4 linked regions of the Astyanax mexicanus genome follow. The protein of the gene in region 3 purifies or fractionates together with the protein of the main gene of each other region. This does not show direct contact. Links are inferred from orthologs where the notes say so. Each region holds a gene or a part of one and is shown on either strand. Other genes may lie near its edges.

Region 1 (7,402 bases), on a different chromosome or scaffold from region 3:
GTCATTCAATTAATACTCACTCTCTGCTGTTTTTCTTTAAACTCTGCAGCTTTGGCATCAAGCTCTGCTTGCATTCTTTGTCGTGACGCCTCCAAAGCCTCCTGGCGTCTCACCACGGACACAGGATCTAGAGAATAAAACAAATCAGCTTGCTTACACTGTGTTACACAGAGTTTTCTCTGTGTTTGTTCACAAGCTCATTCACATAACCAATGTGTCCATAAGAAAAAGGGCTAATTCTTTGGAGAAAGATTACTAGACAGGGTTGTGCACGGTCCTCATTATGTTTTGCATTGTATTTAGTAGTGTTGGACACACAAAAAAATACAGCTACTACTGCAAAGATGCAGGACATAAAATTGCTTGCTATGCCAATGATATTTTGATTTATCTGGGTAATTCCATAAAATTCCACATCTGAATGAATAAAGCAGCTCCAGGCACTTTGGTCATTTGTTTGTGTATAAGCTAAACGTAAATAAAACAGAAATTTCTATATTTAACTATGAGCAGCCTACGTTTATTTTCTTTGACTACATTTTTTTTTTAATTTTGCAAGTTCTTAAAGGGGTGGAGCCAGATTTGTTTTATTTCAATTGGCTTTCAAGAATTAGTTTTATTAAATTGAATGTACTGCCAAGATTTCAGCATAGTTGTCCAATACTGACACAGAGTGTGTATGATTCTTAGCTATACACTGAATGGGGTAGAGGTAAGTAATTAGAGTGTAACATCAGGACAGCTCATAGACCATTTTCCTGGAAGAAAAAGTTTCAAAACCAGTTGCAAAGTTATTTCTAAGTTTAAGAAGAAAGCCCATATGAGTATGAAAATGTACGGAACATCAAACAGAAGAAAATCCATTTGAAAAAAATATATATATTTTGTTTATTGCGCTATAGCAGTTAACGTTAATGCTGTATTAATGCTATTTCAAATGACAATGGAATTGATGGCTCTGAGTGACGGAGATGCGGAAACTATGATGAATTTAAGTCCTGGATCATGCTGCTCGACATCAGCAGCCAGAGTCAGAGAGAGCACAAGTGGCCTTGCACTCTTTGGGTGGGCAGTAACGCTCTCTCCACACATCACTCCCCAAGGTGATGTTGGTCAACACAGGTGCCTGTTAGCTGCTGTGCTAGTCGTGTGTTACTCGCTAGTCTTCACACTCCTACTGTTGGGCACATTACTAGTAATTTGAGTTCTAATGAGTGGTGGGGTAACTGGCCGTTCAAATTACGAAGAAAATGGGATAAAGTTAGAAATGAAATAGTCAAAGACATCGTTAAAGAGATTAAAAAGAGGATATAAAAGAAATACTGGTTACACTAAAACTGAGTATTCACGTAGCTAGATACTGACCTGAGCTGGATGTGGAGGCTGAGCTGCGATCCTGAATAGACCTTTTCTTATTGAGGTGCTGAATGAGGAGATACACCCCCCCACTGAGGAGCAGCAGATACCATCCATACTCAGAGAAAAGCGAGGAAACTGGGAGCAGGAAGAATCAGGTCAGTAAATAAGTTAATATAAGACGCACACACAGATGTTTAAGACATTGGTTCCTCAGAGGTGAGCTGAGATTATAGGTTTCAGAGCCAAAAATGTCTGACACCAGTCTCAGTTTCAGTTTTAAAGTAGACAACGAGAGTTAGCAACCAAATATCAGTAGGAGCTAGGCTGTTTTCCACCTTCCACTAATAGCTTGAGGACCAGAACCCGTATTGTATATTTATATATTCGCTTATATGCAATGTATATCCGTTCAATAACATAAGTCTATATGAATACAACAAAAGTTATTATGTGTATTTTTCTTGTGTATACTGTAAAGTTATCTGTATATTTCTATTTTATTGTATTATTCTACTTTGTTGTAAATATTGTTTCTTGCATACTAAGGGAAACCCTTTTAGACCTGAATTATGATCAAGTTGTGGAAAAATATAAGAATGCTATTTCTGCCTGTGATGAACACAAAAGCTGCCCTTTATAAACTGTATGTAAAAATTAAATCTAAAGAACTAAATATTCAATTGCCCTATTTAATGTCATTTGAATTGGAGGCCTGTGCTTAACTTGTTTAATTTGATATTGATATAACTTTTCATTTTTTTTATATAAAAAGCCTAAAATATATAATCATGATATAAAAAAAGCTGTTTTAAATCACAAAAAGTAGTAAAGAATTATCTCTTTCTTTGCTTCGTTGACTCTAGTGCTGTCATGCCATAATGTCTGAGTTAAGGGTTGATTTTATATTTTTTCAGTGAAGTGGGTGGGGCTAAGCTCCTGTTTAATTGTCTTTTTAACTTTTTTATTGGCTGGTTGATGGTCTATTCAAATGAACAATATGTCTCAATTAGTGTAATGTGCAACAAAACATCTTTTAAATTAATGTGCAGTCCACTGTTTGAGGGTCGCAAGGCCTGAAAGGGTTAAAAAGCCTTTATATTTAACTGTAATACATTTAAGGTGTAAAAACAGGACAGACAGTCAGAGGGGCTGAACTCTCACAGCTCCAGCTCTGTGTTTAACTAGTGAACACAGTGAGTCAGCTAGGCTAGCTAAATGCTAACTAGTAAACAAACAGGCCAACAGGTCAGCAGCTCTTATCTAGAGAACTCTTTCTGTCAGTAAAAGCGTTGAACAGAATATAAACACATTATTAATATTTTATATCTGTTTTAATTAAATCTCTTAGCTGGTGTTTTCCTACCAGTGGTCAGGAGGAAACTCAGGTCCTGGTTCTCCAGGCTCTCCTGCCCTCCTCCTCCTCCCGCTGCCGCCGCTCTGACATTAGCAGCGCCGCTCTCCGCCTCCATTTCTCACCGACACAAACTGAATTAAGACCGCCGGAGGTTTTATTCCATTAATTCTACAGTACCGCTGATTAAACGGCGGCTATGAGCGCAGCTTCGCGGCTTCACCATCAGCGAACTGCCCGCTGAGCTAAAGCTACCTCAGTTAGCCACATCAGATTTCCTCCTAAACTCAAGGATGACGTGGACGGTGAGCGGTGAAGGGGCGGGGCTAGTACAAATACATCGATCTCATTGGCTGTTGTCCGGAAAATATTATGAAAATAGGCGTTTACAGACCCAATCAGGATACAGTAAAGAAACGCCGTAGCAGAGCCGGTGTTCTGTCGAGTTGTGCTAGTCATCAAAATGTGCTTCTAAACACTAATTTTATTTTTTATTTTTGTCATTTTCTGTGTGTTACATACAAATGTGAGTCTAAAATAAATAGGTTCATATGGTGCACTAAAGCAAAATCAAGAGTTTATAATAAATATTTGAAAGTACTAAATTTCTCAACACATTTCTTTAACTATTTTACATATTTCCGTAGTGCGGACATATTTCAAAGCTTTTAGATTTGAAGAAAACCCTTTAAAATATGGTCTGGATGTTACAGGTGCATCTCAAAATATTAGAATATTATAAAAAAGTTATTTTATTTAGTAATTCAGTTGTGAAACGCAATTGTGAAACGCAATTATTATGTAGATGTATTACACACCGTGCGATCTATATTAAGTGTTTATTTTTTATTGTGGATGGTTATGGATTACAGCTAATGAAAACCCAAAAATGTGTGTGAAGTCCTGCTGAAATCTGCATCTCTTTAAAAGTTGTCAGCAGAGGAAAGCATGTAACACAGTGCAGCAACACCAGCAGATGACATGTCTCTCCAGAACGTCCTTAAATTTCAGTAAATGTTGCATTTCATTTGTAAATCAAGGGAGCAGAGTCTGGAGGAAGAGTGGAGAGACACAGTCCAAACTGCTCGAGGTCTAGTGTGAAGTTTCCACCAATCAGTGATGGTTTGAAGAGACATGTCATCTGCTGGTGTTGATCCACTGTTTTATTAAATCCAAAGTGAACGCAGTGTTTCCGGCAAAATCTGCAGATTTCATTTTTCAGCAGGATTTGCCACACTGCCAGAAGTACCAATTGATCTTATATAATATTCTTTTAATTAATTTTCAGAGACACTGATTTTTGGGTTTTCATTGGCTGTAAGCCATAATCATCAACAGTATAAGTAATAAAGACTTAAATAGATCACTCTGTGTGTAACACATCTATATATTATATGAGTTTCACATTTTGAACTGAATTACTGAAATAAAGTAACTTTCCAATGATATCCTAATTTTCTGAGATGCAACTGTACTTCAACATCAGCTCAAGAACCCACGAGCACACAGTAGCAGTAATTAGAACACATTAAATAACATAAAAATGTACAATGATATAAAAAAAAATCATATATAATTGAAATTTAAGACAAACTTTCTCTACATTGTCTATCAAATCTTTTGTACTAGATTTTTACAAGTTAATGAGGACATTTTTTTTTTTGGATGAGCCCCATCCCACCTCATCCTTGACTTATCCCAAAAGTCCTGGATGGAGCTGGAACTCAGTCTCTCTCGAGAGTTGCACTGCTTCACAGCTTCATACTGGGAGCTCTATACTCCCTCTGGTCCAAGCCAGGCATCAAGCATGGTGACAAGTGTTTCAGTTCTATTCTGACAGCAAAAAATGCATTGATTGGAAGAAGGCATCCAGAAAAAACAAAATAAACTGAATATTACTAATGTAACAACAAGAATACACTCAGTTTTCCAGTCAGCAATACATTTTAGAACCCAAAAAAACATACATTATTAAATTTTGCTGTTTTACTGTCAAAACACTTAACTTGGAGAGTTCGAGTTTAGTCAACTTCAGTTTATTTACAATTCGGACACTGACCTGGAATTTAATTATAAAATCCCATTATAAATTTTAGGTAAAAAAACAACAAAAAATAGTAATTAAAAAAGAACAATGTATCTTGTACTAAAAACTGAACGTATCAGGGTATGCATAATGATAATTTGGGCTTATAACGAGAAAAAATTAAACAAATCACACTAAGTTTACAGTAATTTGTGTTCTAGAATTAGCAAATTAGTTCAATGTGGTCATGTAAACAAGAAAATGACAATTTTATAAAAAAAAATCTTTAATGTGCTTAATTTACAAAAAAGATGGCCAAATAAAAGAAATACCCATCATACATAAACACTCCAGCCTCCTGACTCAAAACTAGACTTTACTAACTCAACAGGGCCGCTGACTCTGATCAGTCATCCACACTAAATCAACTACGATCCATTAACATGCATATCTTCTTCCATCTCCATCTCTCCTTCCTGATTCTCGCCCTGCTCCTCATCTCCCTCCATTCCATCTCCACGCTCAGCCTCGTACATCGACTCCTGCATCCCCCCTTCACTCTCCTCTTCCTCCTCTTCCACCATGCTCTGTGCACCTGGAGGAAAAAACAGAAAAAGATAAAGATGAGAGAGTGGTACAGTCTGACTAGAATGCCCTTAAAATAAGTGTTGTTAAGGATTAACAAAATTTTGGGATATGGAGTGCGCCTCAATTACAAGCTCCACCCCTTCGCCCTATATATACCTCCAAGTCACAACTCACCTCCGTGACGAACAAACTCACGCCCACCTCCACCCTGTCACCTCCCTCAATTTAATTTTTGCACCTCAGCCCTGGGGGGGGGGGGGGGGGGGGGGACCAGGCTCGAGATCATCTCAAGCAGTACCGAACTGCACCCAAGCATTAACTGAACTGTACCCAAGCATTAACAGAGTTCACATCCCCCCCCCGCATCGCTCGGCGCAATTCATTATAGCAAAGTTCATATTTGGAGAGGAAAGATCACACGTTTCAGACAGACGCACTTTCTAATATCATATCAACATATCAAAAAATATATAGTTTATCACAATTATGCTGCTAACCTGGGCTGGCTAGCACTGCTAACCGTGGCTAGCGCTCACCCTTTAACAAAGTACTGGAATTTTATGCCCACTGTAAAAAACGGAAGCGCTTTACTCACCTAAATAAACAGTTTTAAGGAGAGAAATCTGTGCAGATTAACATCCAGCACCCGTTTGACTTTTCTTTTTTTTTTCTTTTTTTTATTTAGTTTAGACTTTTTAATTACTAAATCAGTATAAAAGCCACCACTGATACAGCTGGGTGAAATGGTAAAAATGACATTTTTACGATACACAGTAGGGGTGTCACAATTCTCTAAATCCTCAATTTGATTTTATTTCTTATTTTAGTGTCACGATTCGATTCTCGATTTTCTTTTTTTTACAGCAGAGAGGCCTATGCCAGTTTTAGATTAGTCTATGGTCAGTCATTGGTTTGATTCATCAAATTTACAATATCTTATTTCAAAAGGTGGGCTTGATATAAGTGATGCAAAGTGATACAAGTGGTCTGTAATACACCACATTGGGCATTAATAGCCAAATTTAAATAATTTAAGATATATATGTAATGCCATCTAGTGGCTTTTTGGTAGCAGCAGTGTGCACTATTAAAACAGCAATGTGCAACATAACAAAATAAAGAATAAAAAATACAGGAACAGTCACGTACAAAATAATAGAACAATTAGAGCCGTAACAAACTGAACTCTATCCTACTATAACACTTAAACAAAAAATAAGACAAAACAACTGTTATTTTTATATTTTCAAGTTTTTCTTTAAGAAGTTGAGAATGTCCACATTCTCTGGAGAAAGGGCTGCTCTTTCAGCAGTCACAATGTCCGTGGCGTCGGCTACAGTGTGCTGCGCCATTTGCGCAGAGCATGTTCTTGCGTAGCTTAGAGGGAGGGATCGTCGATCCTCTTTTTGACTTCGAGGCTCGAGACTATGACATAATTTCAATCAATTTTGATGTAATATAAAAATCGTGACACCCCTAATACACAGTATTTATCATACTTTGACACAGACAAAATGCATCAGCAGTGACAGATATTGCTATTCTGCTATTAAAATGCTCAATCATTCTTATTCAATGTGTGTTTCACATCATTTAATTAAATCAGGATTTTTTACACTCTAATGTAAATGTAGATTGATAAATTGTAAAGCTACATGTACAGAGAGGCAGTAATCAGTCAGTCGGTTCAATACCTTGTCTGTTTTCTCTGCCGGGGATCTGACCAGCCTGGAGCAATCCCTTTAACCTCTCCACCTCAGCCAGTGATGTGGCGTTTGCGATGGCATTCTGTGGGGAAAGGGACGGTCATTACCAAAAATACAAAACTGAGCACCACATAAACTGAGCACTGTATCATCCACACACAGTAATATGAGCTTAAACATGTCAGTGCCTTAATAGCTTCCACATCCGCCGCAGAAGGTCCAGTCTTCTTCCGGTCAGCCTGTATTCCAGCACCAGGAGTGAACCTGAACACACACATTCAGCAAACGTTCTGTTACAAGACTGTCCCCAGCATATCCGCTCCTTCAGCCTTTTAACCACTGTTCCACCAATCAGAGTGTAGTATCTTGTGT
Region 2 (7,066 bases), on a different chromosome or scaffold from region 3:
ACGAGTTAGGGGTAAGTGAACTGGTGGGAGGGAATGTGTGTGATTTGGTGCGTGATACGGTAGAGGGTCCGCTGGATGCGTGGTTGAGTGTAGATCCGATAGAGGAGATGCTGGAGCGCAGTTGTGAGTCCCCAACAACTCCGTTTGCGCGATCTGATCGGCCGTTTTCGCACGAGTTTCGCTGTGTCTGAGCGCGAGTGTACTAAAACTAGCCTTGCGGTGCATTCGATAAACACGGGTGACGCCCAGCCCATCAGGCTGAGGCCGCACCGTCTGGCGTTAGCAAAGCGTAGCGGCGGAGCAGTTAGTCCGCGAGATGGCGAGTACAGGCATTATTGAGCCTTCGAGCAGCCCGTGGTCGGCCCCAGTGGTCCTTGCGAAAAAGAAGGATGGAAACTGGCGCTTTTGCGTGGATTATCGGCGACTTAACGCTGTCACGAAGCTTGACTCCTACCAGCTCCCCAGGATCGACGATACGCTGGACCAGCTGTCTGGCTCAGCCTGGTTCAGCTCGTTAGACCTGAGGAGCGGATATTGGCAGGTACTCCTCGCGGCGGGGGATAGGGAGAAAACCGCTTTCTCGCTCGGCTCAGCCCTATGGCATTTCACGGTGCTTCCGTTCGGATTGTGTAACTCGCCGGCTACTTTTGAGCGTCTTATGGAGCGTGTTTTATGCGGGGTTCGCGGTCGTGCTGCGTCGTTTATTTGGATGATGTCTTGGCGCACGGAACCGACTTCGACTCCGCACTGTCTCACCTTGAAATGGTGGTCAGCGCGATTCAGGCGGCTAACCTGAAGCTCAATCCGGCAAAGTGTAATCTGCTAAGGCAGCGTGTGAGCTTCCTGGGCCACGTAATGAGCGGTGCTGGCGTGGAAACCGATCCCAAAAAGATGGAGGCGGTCCGTGACTGGCCCACGCCGCGAGACGCTAAAATGGTTCGCAGCTTCGTGGGGCTCGCCTCGTATTACAGGCGGTTTATTAGGGGGTTCGTGGACGTGGCAGCGCCGCTTCATGCTCTGACTAAGCCTAGTGTGAAATTCCGCTGGTCTGACGAGGCGGAGCGGGCATTCGAGGAGCTAAAAAGCCGCCTGTGCAATGCTCCGATTCTAGCGTATCCGAAGGTGTCTGAGAGTTTCATTGTGGATACTGATGTCAGCGACCACGGCCTCGGAGCAGTCCTGTCGCAGGTTCAGTGCGAACATCACACTGTCGTGGGGGGAGGTGGTGCCTCTGGGCCCGATTGCTAAGGCGTTGCGCTCCAACTGGGCTAGTTTTAGTTTGTCCGACGGCGTGCTGTGCCATATCTGGGAGGATCCGGCGAACGGGCAGCGCCGGTAGTGCTGCTGGCCTGTCGCTCCGCTGTGCAGGAGACGACGGGATTCACGCCGGCTCTGCTTATGTTCGGGCGCGAACTGAGGACGCCGGTCTCCCTGGCTTTTGGGGCGCCTCCTGACGGGGGCGGGTACGCTTCGGACACGCCCACTTTTGTCTCGGACCTTATGTCTTCGCTGGAATTAGCACACCGTCTAGCGCGCTCCAACCAGTCTGCTGCCGGACAGAAGCAGAGGCGTGCGTACGACACACGCTGCTTTGGGGACCTGTTGGCGGTGGGGGCGAGGGTTTGGCTATATAACCCTCAGCGGAAGAAGGGACTGTGCCCGAAGCTCCAGTCGGCCTGGGTGGGTCCGTGCTTGGTGCTGTCCAGGCTGGGGGAGGTGGTGTATAAGATCCGGTGGGGCAGACGCACTATGATTGTGCACCGTGATAGGCTGGCCCCCTATAGGCCGAGACTGTCAGACACTGTGGTGCGGAGCCTGCCGGCCTTGCACTCGTGCCTGACCTGAACTCTGGCTCTTCGGAGCCGCTGGCAGGTGGTGCCGTGCCCGGCCCCTCCAGGCTGCCGCGGGCACGGAGGCCGCCCGCCCGCCTTAAAGGTCACCTTCCGCGAAAATCCGATTTTTCTTGTTTTTTGTGGAATACAGTAGGTCTCTCCGAGTTGAATGTGTACACCTGCACATTAAACTGTTTTGCAGCCCCCATTGTCTGCAGGAGCTAAGCAAAGAAATCCCCCCTCCCCCCCTCCGAAAAACGGGTGAATTTTGAATTATCTTTCTGCCTACGTAGGCAGAAACTCACAGACCAGCCCACCTTGGCTCGAGAAACTCCCAGAGGCGGAGCTGAAGCGACGCAACATCACCGCTCATCAGTTAGGAGGTGGGAGGCAGTGAGCGGCAGAGCGGTGGAGGGGCGTCGCAGTGCTCCTAGCCAATCAGAGGAGAGATATTTGCAATGCTGTTTGCATGTATGAATATTCATGAGCAAAGCTGGAATCCGGTCATTTTGGACACACCCCTAAAACAGTCCATTAAAAAAGAGCTATACAGAGACACCTGAGCACTTTTTTTTTTACAAAAACGGCTCACATGTCATTCATTCATACTAGAGACCACAACTAGACATTTTAAAATGAAAGAAAAAACGACGGAAGGTGAGCTTTAATGACTTTGTTTGCAACTGATTGTAAAAAAAAAAAGTTCTGTTGTACACGGGGTTTGTGTTGGGTTGGTGGGGTCGCCGGGACGGCTGACCCTTGGGAGGGGGGCTATGTGGCGGCTCTGGGTTGTGTGTGTGGCTGCCTGCAGGTATGTTTCTGTTCTCCTGTGTGCGAGGATGACAGGGGTGGGGCATCTCCCTTAGGAGGGGTTATGCAGAGAGGGTGGGCACCACTCTGGATCTGCCATCTGGGAGACACACAGCTGGGTTGGTGGCCTTTGGGCTATTAGAGTTCTGTGGGTGAATGGTTTTACCTCTCCTAGTCTTGTTAAAGACTGTAAGTGAGTGGCAAGCCTGTTTAATAAAAGAGCTTATGAGCATTCATCATGAGTCTCACGGGTCTTCCTTCCTCTTCCACGCCACAATATGTTTGTGTAAAATTAACATTATTGTTTTATTCTATAAACTACAGACATTTCTCCCAAATTCCAAATAAAAAATATTGTCATTTAGAGCGTTTATTCGTAGAAAATGAGAAATGGCTAAAATAACAAAAAAAAAAACTCCAGAACTTAAATAATGCAAAGAAAACACGTTCATAATCATAACGTTTTAAAAGATCAGAAATCAATATTTGGTGGAATAACCCTGGTTTTTAGTAACAGTTTTCATACATCTTGACATGTTCTCCTCCACCAGTCTTGTACACTGCTTTTGGACAACCTTATGCCACTCCTTGGTTTGAAAAGCTGAAACTCCAACCAATTTTTTGAAATGGCCAAATCAGAACATCTCTAATAAAGAGGTTAAAACCTCGTGAGAATCTATTAAAGTTTTGTTTAAACACCAGATGGCGCTCCCGATTGAGTCGAAAATGAATGGGTTAATATGGTGCAAAAGATAAAAATTGAAGTTTTAAAATGTTAAATACTTTTCATACTGAAAAATGTACTAATTTCCTTAACCAACAACATCAATATATAATGTTTCAGTACGGAAGATATAATTTTTAAAGCTTTTAAACTCCAGTTATAAGTCTTGTAATCATGCTCTGACACCAACCAGTCAGCTCCCAGTAGCACTAATGCTAGCGCATGTGTTGCCTTAAATCCATTTACTGAAGAAAACTAAAATGCATAGATTAGTTATCTTAGATTTTTTAACAACATACATCATTTTATTTTTCAAAACAGAAAGAATATCCTGGACAAGTTTATAGCTATTATTTTTAATTTGAGGTTTTATTCGTTTAGCTCAATTCACCCCCATTCATTTTGGACTCACTCGATGGCTCCCTCTATCGGTTGCAGTGATTTTCTAATATAACGGCGGGGATAGTAAATGGGTAGTACGCTCTCCATAGACACCGGCTCTGTAACTAAATTATCGGTCCAATAAATACCCTTGTCGTGGCTATGGAATAACCTGTTTAACTTGTTATCCAATGAGAACACACTGCTGGCTTGACTGACGTTTTCTCTACCCAATCGCGTAGGGAGGTTCTTCGACGTTGTCCAATCCGCGTGCTGTTTCGCACACGTCCGTTGTCTTACAACAAATAACAAGTGAACTGACAACGCCAGTTTGGGATGTGAGGGAAACATGGCTGCTTCCTTGGTTAGGTGTTTGAGGGGGCTGTATGTTTTGTTTTTGATATGTCTCCTTTTCGCCTCTGCTTTCCTGAATTTAGAGGAATTAAATGAAATGAAATATGGCATCCAGATTCTGCCAGACCCGGTTATCATGGGCCAGGTAAGTCTGCAGGCTGAGGTAGTTAGCTAAGCTAGTTAGCTAGCATTAGCCTGGTTCGTTAGCTTTACAACGTTATTTTGATAAGACAGCAACAGTCTTAGCACCAAAAACAACGACTCGCTGACCAGCTAACGCTACCTTGTCTATCTGGAAGAGCCTGTAGGTGCTAAATATTTACTGTCGTTATAAATTTCACTCTTATTCTTCATCTAAATTATCTTGGCTAAATATAACGGTTAGCTAGGCTATCCTCTTTATGTGTTATTAGTTAGTCTTGTCTGACAGCTGCTAGGTAATTTATATATCGTGTCACAGTGCTGTTAACCAGGCATGTTTTGGCTTATACGAGCTTTCTGCTTGTTGTGTGGCATAAAAGAGAAATTGCATCTCCATCATATGTGGCTTAGTTTGGGAAATTGTATTCACCTGTCCTCTGTAGCACTAACTGTTTATTTGTTTGCTATGTTAGTTAACTACGGTTTAGATCGAGTAGTTGTGTGGTTATGTTAAATCTACAGCTCTGGAAAAAAATGAGTACCACTTAAAAATTATTCTTTATTAAAAATTATTCTGAGTTTCTTTGATTTTACCAAACCAAGGAAGATGGATGATCACAAGCTGTCAATCCAAGCTGAACTGCTTTAATTTTTTGCACCAGGAGTGGCATAAAGTTATCCAAAAGCAGTGTTTAAGACTGGTGAAGGAGAACATGCCAAGATGCATGAAAACAACTGTGATTAAAAGCCAGGGTTATTCCACCAAATATTGATTTCTAAACCTTTATGAATATGAACTTGTTTTGTTGCATCTTTTTTGTGATTTTAGCCATTTCTCATTTTTTGCAAATAAATGCTCTAAATAACAATGTGTGTGTTTTTTTTTTTGGGGGGGGGGGGGGGATTTTGGAAGAAATGTTGTTCGTAGTTTATAGAAAAAAAGCTATATTCATTTTACTCAAACATACTTATAAATAGCAAAATTACAGACACTGATTCAGAAACTGAAGTGTTATTGAGAGTTATTGAGTTATAGCTTCCTGACAGTACGCCGGCACTACTAAAAACTGTCAGGGAGCTAGCTGACAGTACGCCGGCACTGCTAAAAACTGTCAAGGGGCTAGCTGACAGTACGCCGGCAGTATTAAAAACTGTCAGGTAGCTTCCTGACACTATGCCGGCAGTTTTAAAAACTGTCAGGGAGCTAGCTGACAGTATGCCGTAGTAGTAATACTGTCAGGAAGCTCCCTGACAGTTTTTAATACTGCCGGCGTACTGTCAGCTAGCCCCCTAACACTGCCGCCCGTCTCCCGGCAGGCAAAGATCCAACCCCAACTGGTGTTATTTGAATATATATATATGTATATATATATATATATACATATATATATATATATATATATATGTATATATATATATATATAAGATGTATATATTACTAATTAACAGACTGTAGAATACCTATTTCCTAATAATTTGTGCTTTTGTGTTCAAATGTCACTTATCTTGCCCTGTCATTATTTCTCTGCCAGGTGGAGGATGTAATGTTGGTCTCCAACAAGTACAAGCAGCTGTATGAGTGTCGCTTACCTGCCCAGGCAGTCCGCTTCCACCAGGATCCTGTACCAGAGGCTGACTCTCAGGGCTACAGTGGACCGGGGATCACTGAGCTCCTGAAGCCCATGCAGACTGCTCCCTGCCTTGTCAAGGTTTTAGCCTAAACTCTTTATGTGCACAGTCTAACAAAAACTGTTTTGTAATAAAAAAAGTCTGAAAAAAAGTTTTTTTGAGATTGTTTTTAATATGTTCTCCACACAGACCAAAGACTGGTGGACCTATGAGTTCTGTTATGGCCAGCACATTCGACAGTATCATTTGGAAGGTGGAGTATATAATCTTTAACATATAGTGTGTACAAACAAACACACACGCACAATGTCACTCTCTTTCTCTTTCATTCTCTCTTTTACCTTTTGTTACATATTATTTTTCTATATTGTTTAGCATTACATTGCAAACAGCACTACACATTTGTCATTATAAAAGGTGTATATATACACACACGCACACCCTTACAGACATGTCTGTTAATTTCACAAAGTATTATTTTTTTATTTGTTATTATTTCAGATTCAGAAATCAAGGGTGATGTCCTCTTCCTGGGTTATTTTGAATCAGAATTTGACTGGACCAATGAAACTGCAAAGGTAAAGCTTAGTTTTTTGTAAAATAGTAAAATTACTCTTTATATCATAAGAGAGAATTTACTATACCTAATTTTCTCTTTATGTTTTAGGCCACTAAACAACACAAGCTGAAGAGATACCACAGCCAGTCTTATATCAATGGTTCCAAGTGTGATCTAAATGGCAGCCCAAGGGAGTCAGAAGTCAGGGTGAGACCTCTTTGCAAAATCATTTAGGAATGATTTAAATAAATGGGCACTCATGATTATGTGAAGTTGCTTCATAAAAATGTGGTTGCTATGGCTGTGATGGAATTTGATTACCTGAAATGTGCCTTTTTCTCTTCTAGTTTGTTTGTGAGGAGAGTTCAAGTGATTTTATTGCTCGTGTGGATGAACCTCAGTCCTGTCGCTATGTTCTCACCATACACACCTCTCGCACGTGTCAACACCCACTCCTGCGCCCACCCTCCTCTGCCAAACCACAGGGCATTGTGTGTCAGCCTGCTCTCAGTGCTCAGCAGTACATGGACTATGTCAAAGCGCAAGTCTGTAAGTGCAGATCTCACAATTCATAATTATTATTATTATTTTTTTTATTTAATCTGTGAATTCATTTTCACCTACCACATGCTGCCA
Region 3 (7,269 bases):
ACATGATCTAAAGAGTACTAGTCTTCTACTTTAAGGAAATTTTGGGATTTGCCTGGCCCGAGCTGATTTTAGACTGCACAATTAATTGGCAAAATGGCAGCACAAAAAAAAATATTATTTAAAGCTGTATTCCAGTATGATTTTGGACTTTTTTTTCAGACCAAATACACATCAGATGAAGAGTTCTGGTATTCTCAAAATCAATGCTTTATATTCATTATTTCTGTGCAAAATGGCTTTCAAGTCATGTTGCCAATTCATTTTAAAGGATAAAATCAGCTCGAGCCAGGCTAATTCCAAGTTTTCCTTAAAGTAGAAGACTAGTTCTCTTCAGATCATGTGTATTTGTTCTGGCCCAAGATTAAAAAATTCTTCAAACTTGTACTGGAACAGTGGCTTTTTTGTGCAAAATGGCTTGTTATACCATGTTGCCAGTTCATTTTAAAGTATAAAATCAGCTCGGGCCAGGCTAATTCCAGGTTTACCTTAAAGTAGAAGACTACTACTCTTCAGATCATGTGTATTTGGCCTGGCCCAAGATGAAAAAGTCCTTAAAAATCACACTGGAACATCAGCTTTACATAAAAAATTGTGCTTTATGGATCAGTATTCCATGTTGCCAGTTCATTTTAAAGTATAAAATCAGCTTGGGCCAGGCTATTTCCAGGTTTTCCTTAAAGTAGAAGACTAGTTCTCTTCAGATCATGTGTATTTGGCCTGGCCCAAGATGAAAAAGTCCTTCAAAATCACACTGGAACATCAGCTTTACATAAAAAATTGTGCTTTATGGATCGGTATTCCATGTTGCCAGTTCATTTTAAAGTATAAAATCAGCTTGGGCCAGGCTAATTCCAGGCTTTCCTTAAAGAAGAAGACTAGTACTCTTCAGATCATGTGTATTTGGCCTGGCCCAAGATGAAAAAGTCCTTCAAAATCACACTGGAACATAAGCTTTATATTCAATTTCTTTGTGCATTATGGATCGTTATTCCATGTTGCCAGTTCATTTTAAAGTATAAAATCAGCTCGGGCCAGGCTAATTCCAGGTTTTCCTTAAAGTAGAAGACTAGTACTCTTCAGATCATGTGTATTTGGTCTGGCCCAAGATTAAAAAGTCCTTCAAAATCACACTAGAACATCAGCTTTACATTAAAAAAAAATGTGCATTATGGATTGGTATGCTATGTTGCCAGTTCATTTTAAAGTATAAAATCAGCTCGGGCCAGGCTAATTCCAGGTTTTCCTTAAAGTAGAAGACTAGTTCTCTTCAGATCATGTGTATTTGTTCTGGCCCAAGATTAAAAAGTCCTTCAAAATCACACTAGAACATCAGCTTTATATTCAATTTCTTTGTGCATTATGGATCGTTATTCCATGTTGCCAGTTCATTTTAAAGTATAAAATCAGCTCGGGCCAGGCTAATTCCAGGTTTTCCTTAAAGAAGAAGACTAGTACTCTTCAGATCATGTGTATTTGGTCTGGCCCAAGATTAAAAAGTCCTTCAAAATCACACTAGAACATCAGCTTTAAATTAAACTTTTTTGTGCCTTATGGATCGGTATGCCATGTTGCCAGTTAATTTTAAAGTATAAAATCAGCTTGGGCCAGGCTAATTCCAGGTTTTTCTTAAAGTAGAAGACTAGTTCTCTTCAGATCATGTGTATTTGTTCTGGCCCAAGATTAAAAAGTCCTTCAAAATCACACTAGAACATCAGCTTTACATAAAAACAATTGTGCATTATGGATCGGTATTCCATGTTGCCAGTTCATTTTAAAGTATAAAATCAGCTTGGGCCAGGCTATTTCCAGGTTTTCCTTAAAGTAGAAGACTAGTACTCTTTAGATCATGTGTATTTGGTCTGGCCCAAGATTAAAAAGTCCTTCAAAATCACACTAGAACATCAGCTTTATATTCAATTTCTTTGTGCATTATGGATCGTTATTACATGTTGCCAGTTCATTTTAAAGTATAAAATCAGCTTGGGCCAGGCTAATTCCAGGTTTTTCTTAAATTAGAAGACTAGTACTCTTCAGATCATGTGTATTTGGTCTGGCCCAAGATTAAAAAGTCCTTCAAAATCACACTAGAACATCAGCTTTAAATTAAACTTTTTTGTGCCTTATGGATCGGTATACCATGTTGCCAGTTAATTTTAAAGTATAAAATCAGCTTGGGCCAGGCTAATTCCAGGTTTTCCTTAAAGTAGAAGACTAGTACTCTTCAGATGATGTGTATTTGGTCTGGCCCAAGATGAAAAAGTCCTTCAAAATCACACTGGAACATCAGCTTTACATAAAAAAATTGTCCTTTATGGATCGGTATTCCATGTTGCCAGTTCATTTTAAAGTATAAAATCAGCTTGGGCCAAGCTATTTCCAGGTTTTCCTTAAAGTAGAAGACTAGTACTCTTTAGATCATGTGTATTTGGTCTGGCCCAAGATTAAAAAGTCCTTCAAAATCACACTAGAACATCAGCTTTTTATTCAATTTTTTTGTGCATTATGGATCGGTAGGCCATGTTGCCAGTTAATTTTAAAGTATAAAATCAGCTTGTGCCAGGCTAATTCCAGGGTTTCCTTAAAGTAGAAGACTAGTACTCTTCAGATCATGTGTATTTGGTCTGGCCCAAGATGAAAAAGTCCTTCAAAATCACACTGGAACATCAGCTTTACATAAAAAAATTGTGCTTTATGGATCGGTATTCCATGTTGCCAGTTCATTTTAAAGTATAAAATCAGCTTGGGCCAGGCTAATTCCAGGTTTTCCTTAAAGAAGAAGACTAGTACTCTTCAGATCATGTGTATTTGTTCTGGCCCAACATGAAAAAGTTCTTCAAAATCACACTTGAACATCTGCCTCATATTTTTTGAGCGCAATGGCTTTTAAAATATAATTTTATTAAATATATATTTAATTATTTATTGTAATATATAATTATAAATTCAGTAATTAAAATAAATATTTAACAATATACAAAATTATATTTAATAATATATTGTATATTTACATTGTTAATAAACAGATGTACTGCTTTTCTTCATTCTATCTCCTTCAGTGTTGATCTGTGAGGTGTTTAATATAAACAGCGGGTGTTTGTGAACGCTCCCTTTAGTTCACGGTGGTTCAGTGAAGCGGCAGCTGCGAATATCAAACCAACTTCAGCCGGGGAATACGAGGCTGCGAATATCGAGCCAAACGAATCTGGAGCTGCGAATATCAAACCAACTTCAGCCTCGTAGATCTCACTGTGTGGCTCTTAATAAAGTTATAGAACTTCCTCTGATATTAAAGCATTAAACCGCACAGACATGAGCTAGAACAACAGCTATGGATAACAGCTAGTTTACTATTAGGAGAAATACTAGATAGTAAATTCTAAGTACTGTGTATTATTTATATGAGGAAATTATATTATGACAAAATGATTCAATAATAATTTTCAAACCTACTTGGCCCACGTAATATTTAAATGATAGTATTTATTAATATAAATATACAGCTCTGGAAAAAAGAGCACTTCATTTTCAGAAGCAGTTTATCTGATTTTGCTATTTATAGGTATATGTTTGGGTAAAATTAACATTGGTGTTTTATTTTATAAACTACGGACAACATTTCTCCCAAATTCCAAATAGAAGTATTGTCATTTATTGAGCATTTATTTGCAGAAAATATGAAATGGCCGAAATAACAAAACAGATGCAGAGCTTTCAGACCTCAAATAATACAACAAAAAGAAGATTAAATTCATAAAGCTTTAAAAGTTCAGAAATCAATATTTGGTGGAATATTTCTGTTTTTTTAATCACAGTTTTCATGCATCATGGCATGTTCTCCTCCACCAGTCTTACACACTGCGTTTGGATAACGTTATGCCAGTCCTGGGGCAAGAATTAAAGCAGTTCAGTTTGGTTTGATGGTTGTGATCATCCCTCTTCCTCTTGATTATATTCCAGAAGTTTTTAATTTGTTAAAATCAAAGAAACTGATCATTTTAAATTGTCTCTTATTTTTTTCCAGAGCTGTATTTTCGCACCTGCCCTTTACACAGCCACATCGCCCACCACTGTACTGTATCAGTACACAGTTTATTCTAAACATGCACTGATATTTGAATATAAAAACCCCGTAATAACACATTTTCATACTTTAAGGTGTACGCGGACCAATAGCAGAGGGCCATATTCCGGGTTTTACCCGGGCGAATCAGAATTTGACACTTACAGGTTTAGCTAGGCGGTGCTGTCTACTGACTATGGGTGTATGTGTATGAGTGTATGTGTGTGATGCTCTTTTGCGCCGCTGTGTGTAAGGACGTGTCGCCACAGAGCCGGAAGCCTTACTAGAGTCGGTCCAAAAAATGGCTTACCAGACATTCCAGCAGGAGTATTTACAGATCCCGGTGGTGACGAGGACATACACGACCGCCTGTGTGCTCACCACGGCCGCGGTGGTGAGTAGAACCTCAGCCCCAGCCATATTCCTCTCATTTACCTCAGGTTTCCTGCGGCTTTAGCTGTGCTAGCTGTAGGTTAGCTAACGCTGGCTAGGCTAGCGAGAGGAGGGGGGTTAGCCCGTGTATCAGCGGTTAGCTGAGTTAGCCTCCTGTAGTTTAGCTGGGTTAGCTAACGCTGGCTAAGCAGCAGGAGCGTGTCAGTGTCAGCGGACTGGAGAAACCCAGTCCGTGTGTTTATGTAGTTACACTATTGAGTTTTAGTTAAATTGGTAATAATCTTTACCCGGAGCTCTGCTCTGGATTAGCCAACTGTTCCCCTTCACACAACGATAGGAAACGAGAGCAGTCAGTGTGAGTGTATATTAGTGTTTAGCTAGTTAGCTACAACTACAACTGCCACAGAAAAAAACAGACAGCAGTTTGTGGATGATTCTAGACTTCAGCAAGGACATCACAGCTGAGTGTGAGTGATTTTACCTAGGAGAGAGGGAGATTACCCGATTTTAAAGGGCTATTACCTGTCAACAACTACTGAAGACTTTAATTACATCAGAAATTACATTTAACGTTAATTTACTTAACGTACTTACACTTGTAGCTAGCCAAGCATCTTTCCAAATCAGTTGAAGTTTCCCAAAATTAGTATTTTCTGTACTACTCCACTAGCTAGTTATATACTTGAGGAAATTAGGCAACATTTTAATTAGTTACCTAGGTTAGCTAAACTTAAGTAAAACATTTAACTTTCTCTTTCTCTCACCTCTAACTTGTGAGCTTCAACGTGGTCCAATAAGAACTGAGCTTGATGTACAGTATAAAGTTCCTGTTTGGCTGGCAAACTGTATATATTGCTCAGTATTTTTATATTAAATGTAATTGTGTTGTTTATATGGAGTTTGGGCTGCTTTACACAGATTGTATGTGTTTACATTGACTATTTTTTACTTTGTCATTCAGATAAAGCGAATAAGACAGACATGACAGCTGTTTTAAAATATTTAAAACTTTTTGTATGTTTTAAAGTGAGGATTACCTGTCAAACTATCGGAGACTTTAGTTTTAAAGGGGCTAATACCTGTCAAAAACTACTGAAGACTTTAATTACATCAGAAATTACATTTAACGTTAACTTGGTTAACTCGTAGCTAGCCAAGCATCTTTCCAAATCAGTTGAAGTTTCCCAAAATTGGTATATTCTGTACTACTCCACTAGCTAGTTATATACCTGAGGAAATTAGGCAACATTTTAATTAGTTACCTAGGTTAGCTAAACTTAAGTAAAAACATTTAACTTTCTCTTTCTCTCACCTCTAACTTGTGAGCTTCAAAGTGGTCCAATAAGGGTAGAACTGAGCTTGATATACAGTATAAAGTTCCTATTTGGCAGGCAAACTGTATAACAGTATATATTGCTCAGTATTTTGTATATTAAATGTAATTTTATTGTTTATTTTGAGTTTGGGCTGCTTTACACAGATTGTATGTGTTTACATTGACTAGTTTTACTTCATCATTCAGATAAAGAAAATAAAACAGACATGACAGCTGTTTTAATGACATTTGTTAGGTTACGCTAGCTAGCTAACCATCTACATGTAATCAGATGCAAGTCAAATGGATTTGTACCTTTCTAAGTGTCTCCAAATGATTTGCTTGTTTTCTACTCAACTACATACATGAGGGAGGTTTTTCTTAGTTAGCTAGCTCGGTTACACTTAAGTAATAACATTTACCTTCTATGTTTTAAGAAACATTGACTTTATGTTTTCATGAATACAAGTTAAATGGGTTTTTACCAATTACAAATCATTTGGAGTGTCCCCAAATAGTTATTTAGTGTTCTTAGACTAGCTTATATACGTGGGGAAAGCTAGCTATCCAGCTATCTAGCTTAGTTTAGCTACATTTAATTAATAACCTTAATTTATTTTCCTCTCCCCTCTTACATCAGCTGGAGCTTTAGCATTTTTAATACTAACCAAAGTAATGAGACAGCTGCTGTAAGTGATTTAGAGGTTTTTCGATAGGTTTTAAAGTGAGGATTATCCATCAAAACTACTGGAGACCTTAGTAAGATCGCATATGACATTGAGAGTTATACTTACTCAATTATAATTAATGGATTATTTTTTTACTATTATTTTTTTATTTATATTGGGTTACTCCAAATAATGTGTTTGTTATTTTAGTTTTTTTATTCAAAAAGTAAAAAACTCTTAACACTGCAACATAAAATAACTCCATAACATTTGTTTCATTTTATGAAAAGATACATTTGCTTTGAGGTCAGACATTTTTATTAGGAAATACTGATAATTTGATTTAAAAAGAAAAGAACTGAGCCATATATAAATATCTGACCAATACATTTTCAGTACATGTCAGTTAGGCACTTTATGATTATGATTGTTATATGAACACAATTCTATTGCTAAGGCTACTGTACACAGAACTGATTGTTTACTAGATTTACTAGAGAAGAATGCCTGACTTTTCTGTTGCACATTTTGTCTTCCCAACAGCAATTAGAACTTATTACACCTTTCCAGCTATACTTCAACCCAGATTTAATATTAAAGCACTACCAGGTGAGTGTGTTTCTATATCCAAAGATGTTATTTTGCTTGTAGATGTTAAATAACAAAACTGAATCTATATCTTCTTTATTCTTTGCAGGTATGGCGGCTTGTGACCAACTTTCTCTTTTTTGGTCCAGTTGGCTTCAATTTCTTATTCAATATGATATTTTTGTATCCTTCCAACAATGGCCTAGTCAAATAAATGCATTTGCATTAATTTATTCTCTCAACAT
Region 4 (7,711 bases), on a different chromosome or scaffold from region 3:
AGTGCGTTTAAGTTGATTTTTTTTAAGTATACTTAACATAAAAAAGTACATACTTTTAGCATTAGAATTAAAACATACTTAAAATAAACACATACTTAATGTAATATTTTGTATCAATTTACAGCAACATAAGTATATTTCAGTTGTAATTAAGCTATATTTAAATACAACACAAAAGCTTTTAAGTGCTTTTTTCTTCTGCAAATGTAAGTAGATTTTAGTATGTGTTTTTCTTAATCATTTTTAATACACTTGACGTATTATACACTGCTAAATGTACTACTTTGTGTATTGATGCACATGTACACCTTACACTGACACTGAAAAAAATACACTAGCAAATTGCTTAAATATGCATTTTATGGAAATACAGAGAAAGAGTATTTAATGTGTTTTTTTTTTAATATATGAAATAAAAAATGTACTTTTAGTATTTTTACCTATACTTCCTTTTCATAATGGACATTTCTGAGCTTAAACCTATTTAATACTTAAAGGACTATTAAATATTATATGTTACATAGTAACTCATAACATGATCAGGATGCATCATCAGATATTAGGGAAATATGCTGAGTTTAATCACTGGCAGCTCTTGTCAGCAGTTTCTGACAGTATATATAGTAGTGTGCGAATCTGCCCAGGGCCATTTCCACACCACAGGCTGCCAGGTATAGAACACAACAGCAGGTAAACAGTGTATAACTTATTAACTCATATTTTAAGCAGATTTTTTTGTTGGTTCTTCAGTTTAAATACCACACAAAACACCAGTTAGGCCTTAAATCTCTTTAATATACATTAACTCTTTGACTCAGAGGTACAAATATATGTAAAGGAAGAGGAAAATAAAAAAAAATCCTACTGTCAGTAGGAAATAAAGGAAGGATGTCTTCACACCTTTTTACTGTGTCCACAGAGACGTTCCTCAAGATGTCCCATTGGATGAGACACCTTCAATTCCAGTCCTAGAGTAGCACACGGGGTCCGATTCTCTCTAAACAGATCTCTAAATGCTTCAACAGAACAAAACATCAACATTAAATCTAAAACCAGTCTGGATCAGGTAAGGCTCTTTAATAGGGAGTTGTGGCTGGTTGTGGTGCTTCTCGTCTCTCACTGTTTGGATTTCAGTGCTGTAGCTGCCACGCCCACTATAATGGCAATGACGGTGAACCCCTGGGCGAAGATACGCGTCCGCATGAGCATCTGAGACTGGTGGGTTTTGCCGTGTTTAAAGGCCCGAAGGCCGTACGTCAGAGCTCCTGCCGTCCCCAAACAACCTGCAGAGAAACAGACAGGAAAACACATTAATGCATTAATTGATCCACTTAGAGATTACGGAGTAGCATTTAATTATTTCAAGATTTTAAATGATTTAATAGATATTTTAAACGATTATTTTAAATATTTTAATATGACTTAGATTACGCAGCATCACACAGTTCTGGGAAAGAAAAAGAGATCTTGTAAGGCTCTGCCAAAGTTACTCAGTGCATTTATAGATAATATAACAAATAACATGTAATGAAAGTGTCTTATCTGTATCGCAGTGTGAACAACAAGAAACAGCCAGAATATCTGGGCAAAGCAAACCCAGTCTGAACAGATAAATCAGAATAAATACCAATAAATAAAATGGATTACGTTAGTAAGTGAGGAGTTCAGTTGTTGCATAATAGGTAACAGATCTCTTACATATTTGCACAGATGACTCCGTTTAACTAAATTAGAAGCCACATATCACAACCACTCTCTGTTTAACTCTGTGTTTAAGGAAGATTAAAATCATATAGGCATATAAAAAAACATCAATTAATGTGTCTTTTTTTTATACAGTGAACTCAAACGCATTAGACCAACCTTAAGTATGGAGCAAGTAGGTTTATGTTTATCTGCTGTGTTTTATGTTGCATTTGCACATATGTATCAACAATGGGCATAAAGTTATTAAGTATATAATTATAAGTATAAAGGCTGAATACATTCAGTATAAAGAGGTTTTGTTACATGTCCACCTTTAAAGGCCTGTTCTGGATTCTTGTACAATTATACAAGTCCAAGATAATTATTTGATTATTTAAACAGTCATTTCCTGTTCCTGACCAGGTTTATTTTTGCAAGGAATCCCAGCTGGACTTTGAGGGACCCTGATACTCATCTCAGAACCCCCTCGAGTCCAAAAGGAGCAAAGGTTTAGGACAAACTGTTCGGATCCTGTTAGTGTTCACGGTCCCACATCCTTCCAGACCCACTGCTGGGGAACTTACTTGAGGAATTACTACTCACAAAAATCTAATTTAGTGTTTTTCTTTTTACTTAGTCTGCTTTAATTTCTTTAATTTAGCACTGCACACATACGTCCTCTGTACACTTGGAGAGCATCAGCAGGAGATGAAAGACAATAAAGTCAGGCAGAACATTCAGATCTGAGTTTGTACAAAGTGCTAATTCCACCAGCAGCAAAACAGCTTCAAAGCATGATGCTACCACCACCACACTTAACAGCAAGTACAGTACAGTAAAATAGACCTTGTTTGGTCCAAAGGTTCCAAAATAAACTAAATGACCAGGTGGTTTCCATCCATATTGAGTGAACCATGAATAATTTCCTTTTTTCACAGTGAAAACTCTGTTTGGGTGTTTTTTTTTTTTTTATTATTCTTTTAAAATGTTCTGAATCTAAACTATGAAGAAAAACTAAATTAAATTATTTAGTAAACAAAAAAAAAGTTAAATGTTTTATATTTTAGATCATTTAAAGTAGCACATCTTGCTTAGATCTGCTTTAGACATTTTTGCACATTTTATTTATTTTTATTTATTTATTACCAGTACAAAATAAGTACAATAACAAATGTAAAGAGACTATCTTGTAGTAGAAGTTAAACAGTACAATTTAAATTGGATGATCTTTAAAAGCTTTTAGACGTCCTTAGAAGTGAAAGCTGGCTTTGTATTGGACTCAGAGCACACAGAGTGTCCACAAACATCTATTGTCCTCCTTTATTGAGTTCTGGAGGCTCAGCTGCGGATCAGAGCTGGAACTATAGGCAGGTTCCAGCAGGTCAGATGTTCTACAGGCTGCTGATATAACCTATGTTAGATACTGTTGTTCTAGATATGCAGCAGCAGAACTAATGTTACATGTTAGAGGTCATGAAGGTGTTTACCAGCTATATAAAGCCAATAAAAAGCACAGAAAGTTATTAAACACTGAGAATAACTGAGTTTAGATCTATAGATGATTATAAACACACAGCAGCAGTAGTAATAATAATAATATCTATAATCCGGCAGTAATATAATACTAATAACAGCGCTGTTACAGAGCTTGTGTAACAGTGTAGGGTATCTCACCGATAGGGACGAACGGGTTCTCCTTGGTTTTGCGGAGAAACTTCTCCTTAAAGCTCTCCTCTTTCTGCCGGGGCAGCGGGGTGAAGCCCTCTATGACCGGCGGGCTGCCCGGGTTAAAGGCTGCGGCTCCGGGCAGCGCTGTCCGCCCAGCCCGCTCCTCCTGTACCGCGCTAGAAGCGACCGCCATACTCAGTCCGGCTACTGCCTCTACTGCTGAGCTCCGTACTCACACCCATACACACACTGCACTGCACCGCCCCTACAGGCCTCCTCCTGCTACTGCAGCTACTGCCTCTACTGCTGCTGCTTTAAAAATAGATAGATAGATAGATAGATAGATAGATAGATAGATAGATAGATAGATAGATAGATAGATAGATAGATAGATAGATAGATAGATAGATAGATAGATAGATAGATAGATAGATAGATAGATAGATAGATAGATAGATAGATAGATAGATAGATAGATAGATAGATAGATAGATAGATAGATAGATAGACAAAAAATAAATTATGTTTTATAGATACATTTCTTTGACCTGTTATTTTATTATAGTGACTGCAACAAGGATATTTGTTTTTTTTTATCAATCTGCTTATCTTACTGGGTAAAATCCATAAAATGAAATTCAGAAAATAAAATCCTACCTATGCCTTATTTAAAGAAGACTTCTATTCCTACATATATTCAACTCAATATATGCAATGTAAAAGAATCTGCCAAATTAATGAATATATTGAGACAATTACATCTTGTTTAAAAATATAAATTGCTTCCTCATACCAATCTGTTACACCGTCTTGTTTTTTTGTACTTTACTTTATATGTATATAAAGATAAATAGATAAAAAATTCTGTTGTCACTGAATTGAAGTTTTTCCTTAAAAAAAAGTTATAATCTGTTTTGAAAACCTTTCTGTAACTTTTCAATGAGAAATAACTGTTTGTAACTGTATTCTCTGGAAATTCTTAATATAAAAAAAGAACATTTTAAATATACGTAATACATAAATATAATTATACATAAATATATAATTCTATATTCACGATTTTTTTGTGCTGTTTCAATATACACAAAGGAAATAAACATGTGTAATTTTAATTTCAATTTCCAGAAAATGTGAAACACTGTATATCAGTGGTCCGCTGCATTCATATTTACACATACATATCAACAAATATTTTTCTCACTTTGATCAAATTAACTCTTTAAAAAATGAATGAAAGAAACAGAGCTCTTAGGCTTCTTTTCTGTCCACGTCACACACAAACAAGGCCCTCGCGTCGCACCTCAACGTGATCACGTCGCACTTCAACGTCATCACGTCGCATTTAAGCGTCGGCACGTCGCGGTGGGGGGACTGGCGAGGTAAGATGGCGGCGCCAGAGGAGCAGGAATTATCTCAGGCTCAGACTGAGAAACTCCTCCAGTTCCAGGTACAGTTCGCTCTGCTCCCGCTCACCCACACCACTCACACCCGCCGCCCTGCGGTCTGTCCGGCATACGGGCTCAGAGCCGCCGCGGAGCTCCGAGCCCCGGTTTCGCCGCTTTAATACAACGATAGGAACAGAACAGTTAGCATCAGGCTAGGCTAAATTAAGCTAAGCTAATAGCTAGGTTAGGCTAAGCTAAGCTATCGGCCGCTCCGGGGCTGTAGCGCGGAGGCTCTCCTCGCGCTGCTGCTGCGCCTCAGCGGTTAGCAACACTGCTAACTATTCTACCCTCAGAACCAGCGCAGCCTGAGCCGATTAATGATCGATTATTATCGATAATATCGTTCAGATAGAGCGCGTGAGGAGCGCATGGGTTAGCCAGGAGCTGCCGGAGCATCAGCAGCTGTCAGTTTCCATCAACTTAGTTGGCTGAAACTTGCTGTTAGCCGGTTACTCAGCATTCAGGAGCCGTTGCTGAACCTGTAGCTCCCCTGAGTCTAATTTGGTCTAAAGGAATAAACCCGAATTAAGTAGTTCAGCCAGTTTAAATTCAGTAGTTTTAGTAGATTCAGTAGTTCTAAATGTTTAATCTCGCTGTTCACTTAACCTGACCTAACTCTGGTCCAGAATTAGCCCTAATTAACTAGTTAACTAATTCACCAGCCCTAATTATTAACTACAGTTCACATTAGGGCTGGGCGATATGGCAGAAATCTTGTTTATATCATGATATACTTTTTTAAATCGTTGGTACGATACAATTACATTATGTTGATATCAACATGCTCCGTCTTTATCTTTGGTGTTGTAATAACACACTGGTGAGAGCTGGGAGATACAGTTAAAATAGTATATCACAATATTTAAAGATGTTTTCATGATACACTTGGGTTGTAAGAAATATATCGAGAAATGTTGAGGTTGAGTGAAAACCTCTGGAATAATATATGATAAAAAAATAACAATATAATAATATAATCAAGAGGAAGATGGATGATCACAAGCCATCAAAGCAACCTGAACTGCTTAAATTTGTGCACCAGGAGTAAAGGCATAAAGTTATCCACCAAAAGCAGTGTGTAAGACTGGTGGAGGAGAACATGATGCCAAGACTTTATTAACCAGTTAAAAAATATGGCCTTAAAATGTCCTGTGTTACAGTAGTAATAGTAGTAGAAGGGGTACTACTACTACTAGGTACTAGGATGAAGAAGCTTCTAATCTTTTGTCTTTTATATTTAGTTTGTTAGTAAAAAGTTCATATTTAATTTCAGGTTATATTGGTACATTCATCGTGACATTCAAAAAAATCAAATTGTGAAATAACTTTAGTTAGATTGACACAGAAATGAAAGTGAAAATGTTCCTAGGTGGCTCATGATGATTTATATATGAGGGCTGGGCAAAATGGCCATTTTGATATAATAGTTAAGAATATAAAGGCTACAGAAAAAATGCCAATAACACTCTCAACAAATGTTTGTACCTACAAAAGGCTAAAAATGAATTTGCCAGTTCATGTAATGCATCCTGAATTCAGTGCCAGGTCAGGTAAATTGTAAATTTATGTATACTCAAATAGTGGAGAGTCATATTGGCGTTATTAAAGCATTTTCTATTACAATATTGTATCAATATGTATGTTGATATTGAATTATTGATGTTTTACAGGTTGCAGTGTAGATTCAATCACTACTGTACTAAATAGATTTTTATTAAAGGCAAAACAGATGGGTGTCATTCTTAAAACATACCTCATATGTACAGTATGTCCTAATATGCTGTTAAATAATGCAAAATCTATTATTTTTAATCCCGTACAGGACCTGACGGGCCTGGAGTCGATGGACCAATGTCGCCGCACATTAGAACAGCACAATTGGAACATTGAGGTGAGCGCTGACGGGGGAGATCAATGATTCCTTTCAGAGAGATGTTGGAGAGAGCTTTTGGCAGCTGGAGCTGCATTGTTGTGATGAGAATGCTGCTGTTTTACAGGCCGCCGTACAAGACAGACTAAACGAGCAGGAAGGAGTTCCCAGTGTCTTTAACCCGCCGCCCGCCAGACCCCTACAGGTTAACACAGCAGATCACAGAGTCTATAGCTATATCGTCTCCAGGCCACAGCCTAGAGTAAGTGCTTCATCTGTACCCTGTTACTGACGCTTACGTTTGTAAATACTATTTGTTTCGTGTCCTCATTCCTTTCTTACCTCTTTATTTTACAGGGATTATTAGGTTGGAGTTACTATTTGATAATGCTCCCCTTCAGGTTTACGTATTACACACTTCTGGACATATTCAGGTAACACTTTTCTGCTTTTACAACCTTTAATTAATTCATTATAGTTTTATTCTTTTTTTGTTTGAGTGCATTAAGGGTGTAATACTTTCCACAAACGATAAAAGCCCACGTCTGCAAGAACAAAGCAGACGTATGTAGTCTAGTATGAAGATGATCTGTGCAGAGACTCCAGCCAAAGTCCAACTTAAGCTTCCTTAATATATTTACGTTGTTCTATGTGTAAAATACATTCATTTTCAATAGGCATATATGCACCTGAAACACTACAGTACAGCCTAACGCATCCCAAATTATATTTTCAACATAAACATTTTAATAAAACATTATAGTCGTTATGGCTTTTAGAAAAATGTGCACTATAGGTCTCTGTGATATGCCCTAAACTTAACTAGTACTTTTACACTTATACTTGAGTAGAAAGCTTGAGTGGACCAAACAAGACAGGATTGTTTTTGTGCCTCATTGCAACCCTATAATGTGCAATATGTGTTCTATTTCTTAAAAGATCTAACAAGTTCTTTGTTATTTTCTTCAGGTTTGCCCTGAGATTCATTAGGCCGGATCCTCGGGGTCGTGTCACAGATCCTGTTGGAGACGTTGTGTCCTTT

What was found.
Region 1: the proteins of derl2 (region 3) and selenos purify together in Homo sapiens (affinity purification with western blotting; 3 studies listed by BioGRID and IntAct, with this or other methods). This does not show direct contact. The link is inferred for Astyanax mexicanus from reciprocal best matches to the Homo sapiens genes DERL2 and SELENOS.
Region 2: the proteins of derl2 (region 3) and os9 purify together in Homo sapiens (affinity purification with western blotting; 3 studies listed by BioGRID, with this or other methods). This does not show direct contact. The link is inferred for Astyanax mexicanus from reciprocal best matches to the Homo sapiens genes DERL2 and OS9.
Region 4: the proteins of derl2 (region 3) and faf2 purify together in Homo sapiens (affinity purification with mass spectrometry; 5 studies listed by BioGRID and IntAct, counting the BioPlex papers as one, with this or other methods). This does not show direct contact. The link is inferred for Astyanax mexicanus from reciprocal best matches to the Homo sapiens genes DERL2 and FAF2.

The regions. Positions count from the first base shown.
Region 1 is NC_064423.1:9,663,541-9,670,942, reverse strand, and holds the start of selenos (selenoprotein S), read right to left. Parts: upstream 3,014-7,402; 5' UTR 2,829-3,013; coding exon 2,723-2,828; intron 1,495-2,722; coding exon 1,366-1,494; intron 128-1,365; coding exon 21-127; intron 1-20. Other genes in the region: snrpa1 (U2 small nuclear ribonucleoprotein A'), read right to left, coding at 5,165-5,331, 7,019-7,112, 7,219-7,294. UniProt on the Homo sapiens protein: Involved in the degradation process of misfolded endoplasmic reticulum (ER) luminal proteins. Participates in the transfer of misfolded proteins from the ER to the cytosol, where they are destroyed by the proteasome in a ubiquitin-dependent manner.
Region 2 is NC_064412.1:17,475,669-17,482,734, forward strand, and holds the start of os9 (protein OS-9), read left to right. Parts: upstream 1-4,052; 5' UTR 4,053-4,096; coding exon 4,097-4,246; intron 4,247-5,774; coding exon 5,775-5,951; intron 5,952-6,060; coding exon 6,061-6,124; intron 6,125-6,372; coding exon 6,373-6,449; intron 6,450-6,538; coding exon 6,539-6,637; intron 6,638-6,777; coding exon 6,778-6,979; intron 6,980-7,066. UniProt on the Homo sapiens protein: Lectin component of the HRD1 complex, which functions in endoplasmic reticulum (ER) quality control and ER-associated degradation (ERAD).
Region 3 is NC_064408.1:27,636,200-27,643,468, forward strand, and holds the start of derl2 (derlin-2), read left to right. Parts: upstream 1-4,262; 5' UTR 4,263-4,361; coding exon 4,362-4,454; intron 4,455-6,979; coding exon 6,980-7,045; intron 7,046-7,133; coding exon 7,134-7,207; intron 7,208-7,269.
Region 4 is NC_064426.1:2,400,425-2,408,135, reverse strand, and holds the start of faf2 (FAS-associated factor 2), read left to right. Parts: upstream 1-4,691; 5' UTR 4,692-4,738; coding exon 4,739-4,801; intron 4,802-6,621; coding exon 6,622-6,690; intron 6,691-6,796; coding exon 6,797-6,931; intron 6,932-7,026; coding exon 7,027-7,103; intron 7,104-7,638; coding exon 7,639-7,711. Other genes in the region: higd2a (HIG1 domain family member 2A, mitochondrial), read right to left, coding at 1,117-1,283, 3,361-3,547. UniProt on the Homo sapiens protein: Plays an important role in endoplasmic reticulum-associated degradation (ERAD) that mediates ubiquitin-dependent degradation of misfolded endoplasmic reticulum proteins.